Daphnia pulex: one gene and its partner. The protein of the gene in region 1 binds, or shares a complex with, the protein of each later gene. Links are inferred from orthologs where the notes say so. Each region holds a gene or a part of one and is shown in the gene's direction. Other genes may lie near its edges.

Evidence for each region.
Region 2: gamma-tubulin complex component 2-like (region 1) and nucleoside diphosphate kinase 7-like share a complex: the UniProt entries of both Homo sapiens proteins name them as parts of the gamma-tubulin ring complex. The link is inferred for Daphnia pulex from reciprocal best matches to the Homo sapiens genes TUBGCP2 and NME7.

Annotation. Positions count from the first base shown.
Region 1 is NC_060019.1:11,565,926-11,570,268, reverse strand, and holds the start of gamma-tubulin complex component 2-like, read left to right. Parts: upstream 1-1,294; 5' UTR 1,295-1,440; coding exon 1,441-1,493; intron 1,494-1,578; coding exon 1,579-1,740; intron 1,741-1,810; coding exon 1,811-1,950; intron 1,951-2,012; coding exon 2,013-2,393; intron 2,394-2,477; coding exon 2,478-2,700; intron 2,701-2,762; coding exon 2,763-3,184; intron 3,185-3,244; coding exon 3,245-3,395; intron 3,396-3,519; coding exon 3,520-3,782; intron 3,783-3,850; coding exon 3,851-4,025; intron 4,026-4,086; coding exon 4,087-4,279; intron 4,280-4,342; coding exon 4,343-4,343. UniProt on the Homo sapiens protein: Component of the gamma-tubulin ring complex (gTuRC) which mediates microtubule nucleation.
Region 2 is NC_060026.1:2,936,893-2,941,300, forward strand, and holds nucleoside diphosphate kinase 7-like, read left to right. Parts: upstream 1-1,498; 5' UTR 1,499-1,748; coding exon 1,749-1,820; intron 1,821-1,909; coding exon 1,910-2,023; intron 2,024-2,082; coding exon 2,083-2,249; intron 2,250-2,320; coding exon 2,321-2,482; intron 2,483-2,545; coding exon 2,546-2,753; intron 2,754-2,819; coding exon 2,820-2,913; intron 2,914-2,993; coding exon 2,994-3,127; intron 3,128-3,187; coding exon 3,188-3,283; intron 3,284-3,353; coding exon 3,354-3,461; intron 3,462-3,521; exon of another isoform or gene 3,522-3,565; coding exon 3,566-3,604; 3' UTR 3,605-3,933; downstream 3,934-4,408. Other genes in the region: uncharacterized protein LOC124205225, read left to right, coding at 111-113, 178-241, 306-398, 464-1,077; 5'-nucleotidase-like, read right to left, coding at 3,934-4,043, 4,112-4,255, 4,319-4,408. UniProt on the Homo sapiens protein: Possesses an intrinsic kinase activity. Displays 3'-5' exonuclease activity with a preference for single-stranded DNA. Does not seem to have nucleoside diphosphate kinase activity.

The DNA of each region.
Region 1 (4,343 bases):
CTTATGCTTCTCATCAATTGACCAGGACTGATAAATTCAACAAGAAACTCGAATTTGCTTTAAATAAATTAGAAATTTTCAGTATATACCTGCTGCAAGCAAGAATGAAATGGATACGGAAATGGATAAGGAATGGCGAGGAAGGGAGACTCGAGCAAAATGCGACGATTCGTTTCAACCTTTTTTCTCGGAACAAACGTATCGAAACCCCCCTGCTGGTGAGCTATGAGTAATGACTATTCGCTGTTTTTACTTTTTAATTTTTTGTTTTTTTATTCCTTCTCTTTTATTTCTTTTTTATTTTATATATTTTTTAGCCAATTTTATTATTTTTTGTCAATAATATTATGCTCCTAACTAGTAATTATAGCCTATAATTAGTCTAATGTTTACAAGCCAAGTTTATTAGACATCATATACGTTAAAAGTTAGAGGTCGGGGAATTCTTTATGTAATAGGCTATAATAAACCGAAAATAATAACGTAATTCCATTCGGAAATAAGAATAAGAACAATTAAAGTACTAGCAGCCCTAGCTACTAATAGAAGACGGTAATACCATACAAATGCATTTCTCGTCCACCCCAACTAAATAATAGGCTACAAGTGAACCAAAACTGAGGTTAGAGAGTATGACAGAAGACTAACGTATATATGCGCTGGTGAAAGATAAAATTGATGACTTTTCTTCTATAGGGGATAATACACCTGACGCTATTGGCCCCGTCCCCATTGTAGAAAGTGCCTCTTCAGCCTATTGGTCCAATGTTATGCTTTCACATAAATTTCAAGAGGAGTCTAGTCTCTATAGTGTGTCAAAGAATAAACCATTTGTCACTTTTCTTTACATTGTCGTTTTCGTTTTGAAGGCAAATACCATTTTACCTCTCTTATTCCGTTCATCGCTCTACATTATTGTAATGTGGGGAAGTATTGTATGCACACTATAATAGTGTATAGTGCATCATTTATGCCATTTACATAAAAGCCGCGCAATTTATTTCTTACATATTTTTTGTTACTTGAATTATACAGGCCTACAGGGTTTTAAATAAAGGAATTAATATTAGACCTATAAGCGCACTCTTTTTATTAAAATAAAATAGACTAATGACTTAGGAAGCAGGAATTACCTAAAATGTTGATGTTTAACAAAGAATTAACATTTTATATTTTTTTTTCATAAAAAATCACTAATTTTAATAAGTAATAAAATAATAGCCCTTCTAACGCCTTGCCGGCCTTGCTAACGCAGCGATAATTGTATCAGTTTCATCCGCCAGGTGTCTGCTTTCTTTTGAATTTGACATTACCGCCAAATGTTAGTTCATGAAATGTCAACAGCACAACAGGAATAGGTTTGACTTGACATGTTGTGACTGACGACTTGACGAGGAAACAAAATTGTAACGTTGAAGATTACTACTTGTTCTTGTTGTCATGAGTGAATTCAAAATTCATCACGCTGTTAGCGAATTGATTGATTCGCTAGGGTAAGTTAACTACTTTGAAATACATAATCTAGGATTGGCCGTTGCCCGATCTTACACTGGAATACTTAATTCGTCCTTCCTACAGGCTCACTGACTTGGTTGCACCTGAAAAATTTGTGAAAAACTTGGTGACTTCTCCATCACAGGTCCAAATAACAAATGCTAGAGAGACTGTGCAAACTTTAGCAGCTTTGAGCTCAAATCCATCTGAGATAGTGAACAAGTATGAAGAACTACGGGACAAAAAGTAGGATTTACACCATTTTTCACAAAGTTTACAATCCTGCTAATGGTCATATTAATATTGAAACTTCAAGTTACGCTGAATTGGATTCTTTTGTCCTGATACTTTCAAAGATGAAAGAGTCTAAGACAATGACCCGCTCAGTCAGGGCTGGTTTGCCAAGAGAATCTGTCAAAACCTATTGCACTAGCACAGATAGCAATCAAGGATCTGGTATTTAAATTTTTTCTATATGTTTGTTCATGAATTTAATTACAGTAGAAGTTTTTTTCTAGGCCCATCAACATCCACTCCAATTGTGGTTGGAGGTGTAAAATTGAAGGAATTGAAGAGCAGGTTACAGACTGCAAGTGAGGGTTCATTAGGTCATAAAGTTACTGAACTAACAGAGAAGAGGGTCACATCTAGTGAAATTATACAAAAGAATCCAAAGTGGTTTCACACTAGACCCTTTCTTTCTTGGGACTTTCCTGTTGCTGGGCTATCAGATTCTCATCTACTTCAAGTTGCTCCTCTTGGAAATGTGCCTGTAGGAGATCAAGAAAGAATACTTTTAGAAGAGCTCCTTTATGTTCTCAGTGGGTTTGATGGCGATTACATACGTGCACTACCCTTAACTGCCAACGCCGACGAAAGAAAATTCGAAATTGATGATAGTAATTATTTTTATTCAATAATTATTTATTGAAAATTGTCAGAATAAAAATAAATTTTGTATTTTGTATTTTTTTTTTTTACAGGTGTCGACGATTCACTAAAAGAAATGATTCGAAGATTCTTCCCAATTTTAGCTTCCTATTCTATAATTGAGCGCTTCTACGAGAGTCGTTCTGGATTCGATTTCGGAATGGTAAATGACGCCTTGGCAGCGGCTATTGGCAACTTGGTTCATGAATATCGAATCTTTGTCTGTCAATTGGAAAGTTTATTGCTTAAGAACGAATTGAGTTTGCAGAAAGCTTGGTAATCTAAAGGTTTTATATCTAAGGTATCTTTAAATCAATCTTTTTTTTATATCTTTTAAGGTATCTTCTTCAGCCCAATGTCACGATATTGCATCAACTGCATCATGTCACGCTGTCATTAATGAGAGCTAAAGCTCAAGGCGGCCAAGTATTATCCGTTCTTCACCAACAGACCATGGAAGCGATGGGAAATGAGAAGCAACAGAAACTTTTGCTCTCACTTACCCGTTCTGCAGCCCAGCCATATTGGGAGATTTTGCAAAAGTGGATTTATCAAGGTTCAGTAGAAGATCCATATTTGGAGTTCATGGTTGAAGATCATCAAGTAGTATCCATGGACAAGCTCTCCCCAACGGCTTACAGTGACGACTACTGGGAGAAGCGTTACACTCTACGACGTGATCGAGTACCCTCATTCCTTCTCCCACTTACTGACCAGATTCTTCGTACCGGAAAATACCTTAATGTGATCAAGCAATGTGGTGTGTCCTAATCTTAAATTTATTCAATATCAAATCATCTTTATGCCTTAATTTTGATAGGAATGAAGGTGAAACCACCAAGGATTGATGACTTAGTGTATACACTTGACGGATCAGGCTACAAAGAAGCCATTGAAAAGGCTTACAGTTATGCGTCTGAGACGTTGTTGCACGTCCTCATGCAAGATTACGACCTTTTAGGTCGGCTCAAGTAATATCAGTTTAACCTCATAATGAATTGCATGTGACAATTTTAGCCGATTACTCTTGACTGTTTTAGTTTTTTACGCATTAGAATATGCATTTAATGCCTTAATGGTTACTATGTCTTGCAGGTCCGTGAAGCATTACTTTTTCCTGAATGCGGGAGATTTTATCTTGCATTTCCTCTCGCTATGCGGAGCGGAATTGGTGAAAAACGTTGATGATGTAATGCCCAGCCGATTAGAATCTTTGCTTGAATTGGCACTTCGCACTTCGACCGCCAACGCTGATCCCTTCAAAGATGATCTGGGACTTGAATTACTTTCCTATGATCTAACTACTCAGATGGTTAAGATTCTTTCGATCGAAACTCACGGAGAACGCGACAATCGCGGTATATAATCCTAGTTCGATACCTTCCCACATTTCAATAAAATAGATACATTTTTTAAAAATATTTAGGGGATGGGAACCACTCAATCGACCATGTACGGTTGACGGGATTGGAAGCTTTCTCTTTCATGTACCGTGTTCGATGGCCTGTTTCACTTGTGTTTACGACTAAAGTTATGGCGTGCTACCAGATGATTTTCCGACATCTTTTCTTGACCAAATATGTTGAAAATCTCTTGGGCCGGTAAGGATTTCCTTCAGCGCAATTAATTTTGTTGAAACTACTGATTTAATGACATTTTTAGAGTTTGGATTTCGCACAAAATTGTTCGCAATTATTCGTTTCCGACTAGCCAGTGGTACAACAACGCATTTGCTTTGCGTCATCGCATGCTCCATTTCATTCAAAATTTATTGTACTACATCACGGTCGAAGTTCTTGAGCCATCATGGCAAATTTTTGTTGAGAAAATCCGAAAAGTGGACAACGTCGATCAAGTATGCACAAATTTTTATTTCCGTTCATTAGACAATTTCTAAATAGATAGTTCAAATTAACAGG
Region 2 (4,408 bases), on another chromosome or scaffold:
TCATTTTGACGAAAGTGACTTTAAATCAGGGATTGAAATTTTTAACGTGTTCCATCCTTTCCAACGTAGGCATCTTAATGCTGGAGCAATTCCCAAACATTTTCTCATAAATGGTATGTATTTCCTTTCCTGTAAAATCTTTAATGTCACACAGAAACTAAACCATTTTCATTTTAGATACAATCTAGCCGACAAGCAATGCAAAATGTTGATGGTTTTAAATGGAGAAATAACCTTAATGGTATTTTTACATATGTTTATTTTGTTTAACATCAAATAACGCTATTCTTAAATATGTATTGCAGTGGAAGCAAATGCTAGCAATGCATCAGTAAGGAAACGACCAAAAGTAGACAAACCACCTACTACGTCAAAGAGAAAAAAAGTTGACAGTACAGGTATTGATAATAGTTCTCTTTACATTTTATTTTGAAGAGCAATTGCTTTAATTTTAATCTTATAGCACCCTCCATGGAAGTTACCTCTACTATTCAAGAAACAATCGACATTCACCAGGCTGCTGAAGAAGGAATTGTTGATCCACTTCCTGATTCAATCAAAGAAAATCTTGCTGTTGTCATTGAAGATACGACAGTTGCATCGCCTTCTATGGAAGCTACCTCTACTATTCAAGAATCAATGGACATTCCCCAGGCTGCTGAAGAAGCTATTTTTGATCCACTTCCTGATGTAATGAACAAAAATGTTGCTGTTGTCATTGAAGATTCGACAGTTACATCACCTTCTATGGAAGCAAGCTCTACTAATTTCAAGTCTAATTTTGTGACATTTCAGTCACTAGTAACTTTATCAATGATACCAAAGAATTGGATATGGTCTTTTGATCAAATCAAACAAATGATTTATTGCATTTCGATGGATCAACTACCAAATGGAAATTATAATGTGAAAAGTGTACATTTTCAAAACAAACAAGAAGTAATGTATTATGTCAACAGAAAGAACATTCCATCAAGCACTACTGCTTTGTCAAACCATTTCACAACAGTTGAAAATATAACGCAATTGATAAAGGATTTCAACGATCGAAAAATTTGTTCATGCATTCCTCATTAAAGGTTCATAAATATTAACCTTTAATCTCGTCTTTCTGGTATATTGGACTCAGCTGGCGTGTTAAGATCGAAATATTGCAGAAAGAGAATAAAATTCAAAGTAACTAAGAATAAAACGTACCATGTATTTACACCACATTTTTTTTTTACACAACCAAACAATAAAATGTAAAAATGTGAGGACACTTAAAAAGATTGGACACTTTGAAGTTAGATAAAACTTAGAGGTTTGACAGTTGGATACTTCTCCTTTTTATTATTGTTTACTTCTTGTAGAAAAGTAAGCTGTGATTGGCCAATGAGTTTTTCATAGACCCTTCCTGATTGGCTGGCTTCACGTAGTAGCTGACACACTCACTAGAGGCGCTCATTCATTCTTCCAAATCGGCTTACGTTTACCCTGAAACCGGGATAGGGAAGCCAACACAGCCATGAACTGACCAGGTATCTATAGCTCTGCTATGGTTGCGTACTTGCTTTAACTACTTTCGAACACAAATGCGTTTTTTAAAATCCGGCAGCGTGGCCCTGTCAGACCCAGAAAACGTCTAAGCGGATTATTTGGACACGAGAAATTCGATAGAATTCGAATGATTCCTTAAACCAACCAGCAGTTTACGGTTTTATTTGTTTGACGTTTATTCGTGTTTTTAGATTCATTATTTGACCTTAATGTTTTACCCTTCTCGTACCAGTGTACTTGCTTTTGTCGCTCTCATTGCTGGCCTCTACCTCGCCCAACGTGTACGAACTTTTTTTATTACTTCTCTGTCACTTTGGCTGTGCTGTTGTGCTGCAAACTGATTGACATATTCATTTGATTTTCACTGTAGAACACAATGGAGGAAGAAAAATTCACCATCAGTGTAGAGTGGTATGATGACATATCTTCACTGGTGCGTCCATTTGTCTTGTTTTACTACCCCTCAGACAGGACAGTTGAAATGGTAAACACAATTGAAGTATACAAATAAAACTTTTAAATAATATTTCTTTTATTTAATAGTATGACAGCAAGCAAAAGAAAACATTTTTGAAGAGATCATTCTGTGAGACAGTGGCAGAAATCGATTTGTACATTGGGAACAAAATTTCAGTTTTTGGAAGAGAACTGAAGCTGATAGAATACCTCGACAATACAACCAAAACTGAATTGGCAAAGAAATCAGAAAGGTATGTAAAATGGTTATCTCAGTTCAGTGCAATTTTGTGATCAAGTGTAAATGAACTATAAATGTTTCCAGGACTTATGCCATGCTCAAACCTGAAGTCATTGAGCAGATGGGAAAGGTCCTATCCTTTATTGAAGGAAAGGGATTCAGATTCAACAAACTGATGCTGACCAAAATTGGTGCAAATAGAGCAGCGGAATTTTACAAGGAACACCAGGGTCGAGCATTTTATGAGTACGTGTGCAAATCACTTTTGTTAAATACGCTTTGATCATTTATCGTTTATTATCTACACAGAAAACTTGTAAATTACATTTCGTCCGGTCCTGTTCTCGCCATGGAACTGTTGGCCCCGTCAGCCATCAGGTATTGGCGAGTAAGTTTAGGACCAACCGATCCAGATGTGGCTCGCAGTGATGCACCCAACACACTTCGGGCCCTGTTTGGAAAAGATACTACATATAATGCTGCTCATGGATCGGATTCACCAGAAGCTGCTGCAAGGGTAAACTGTTGGTCAAAGAATCCATTGTGTGTTTCTTAATATTAAGGCATGTATTTCTCTTTCTAGGAGCTCAACTTAATATTCAATAATTTGAATAGCCATTACGAACCTTCCTACATCAAAACTTTGTGCCTTGTTAAGCCACACATTCTCCAAGAAGGTATACATTTTAAACTAGTGTTTTGCCATTCGCTATGGGAAACCAACGACTTTATCTACGTGTACCAATTATTTTTGCAGGGAAGTTGGGCGCACTCATCGCTGCCATTCAACAAAATAACTACAGAGTTTCTAGTCTGAAGCTTCACAGAATGAGTTTAACTGAAGCTGAGAAGTTCTTTGCTGCTTATAAAGGAGTTTGGGATGATTACCCGGTAATTCAATTGATCCTCTCTCCAATATTTTATCTTTAATCGAATTTATTTTCTTATCAGGCCCAAATCAAACATTTCACTTCAGGACCAGTCGTGGCATTGGCTGTAGATTCTGATGTCAATACATTCAGAGAATTTGTCGGTTCATTTGATCCGGTTAGTTTCATTTAAAAAATTTCTTAATTCTAAGTATTTTATTAACATCCGTTTTGTCTTTACTCTCTAGAATACTGCGCGGAAATTACATCCGTCGTCCTTGCGAGCCCGATTCGGACATGACATTACACATAATGCAATCCATTGTACCGACCTACCCGACGATGGTGTACGAGAGGTATGTAAATTTAACTTTTTTGTAATTGTGTAATTGTTATTGAATGTATAAATATTTTTATTTGATGATTTAAACAAATGTTTTTTTATTTCAAATTGATACAGGTTGAGTTCTTTTTCAAGGATGTTGGTGGGTTCCAGTAAAATAAAGGCAATATTGTGGACCATAATGCAATAACTGAACTCGTAAGCACCAAAACGGGAAAATTTCGGAATCGGGTAGAAGTAGGATAAACTAATGAAATTATGTGGGTGATGAACATCTAAGTGGGTATTGAACTCATCCTATAAAAAATTTGGGGGAAAAAATACAGCAATAATAATAACAAATATTAGTCTCTCTTTTTCCTGTAAAATCATTTAGGCTATTGGTGAGCATTGTGACTCAAAGCTTCAGTCAGGCAAAAAGAGTGCAGAAGATAGTGAAAGAAAAAACCCGCGACCGATTTGTTAGCCACACATTCTCACACAGCCTACCGAACCAACGATAAGAGGGATCCTCTTCTGTCTCGCAGTTTTGGCCATAAAAATTTGTAAGCGGCAAAAGCCATACCAGAGAAGAGCAGCGTCAAGAAGATAGTCACTGTTGGGTGAGATAGCAGTAATTAGTTAGGTTAATTAATAATAAGCAAAAATGGTTGTAGCACTCACAAAATACTGTTCCAGTGACGTTCGTATTCGGGCAAACCGTTGGGTTGTCAGTGTTTGAGATAAATTTCACTCTCCCTTCGTTTCCGTAAGTCAGTGGTGTTAATTTTTTTATGTACTCTCGGAGAAAAATTTCATCGCGAACGCCTGCCGAAATCAATTGAAAGTTTAGTTTATGATTACAAAAGATTACGAATGATGTCGACTGACCAGTGCTGTTTTTCAAAGCAAAATCTTCCATGGACGAAAATCTGCTGCCACCGTTGGCGATAAACGAGGGCATACCAATTCTGTAAACTT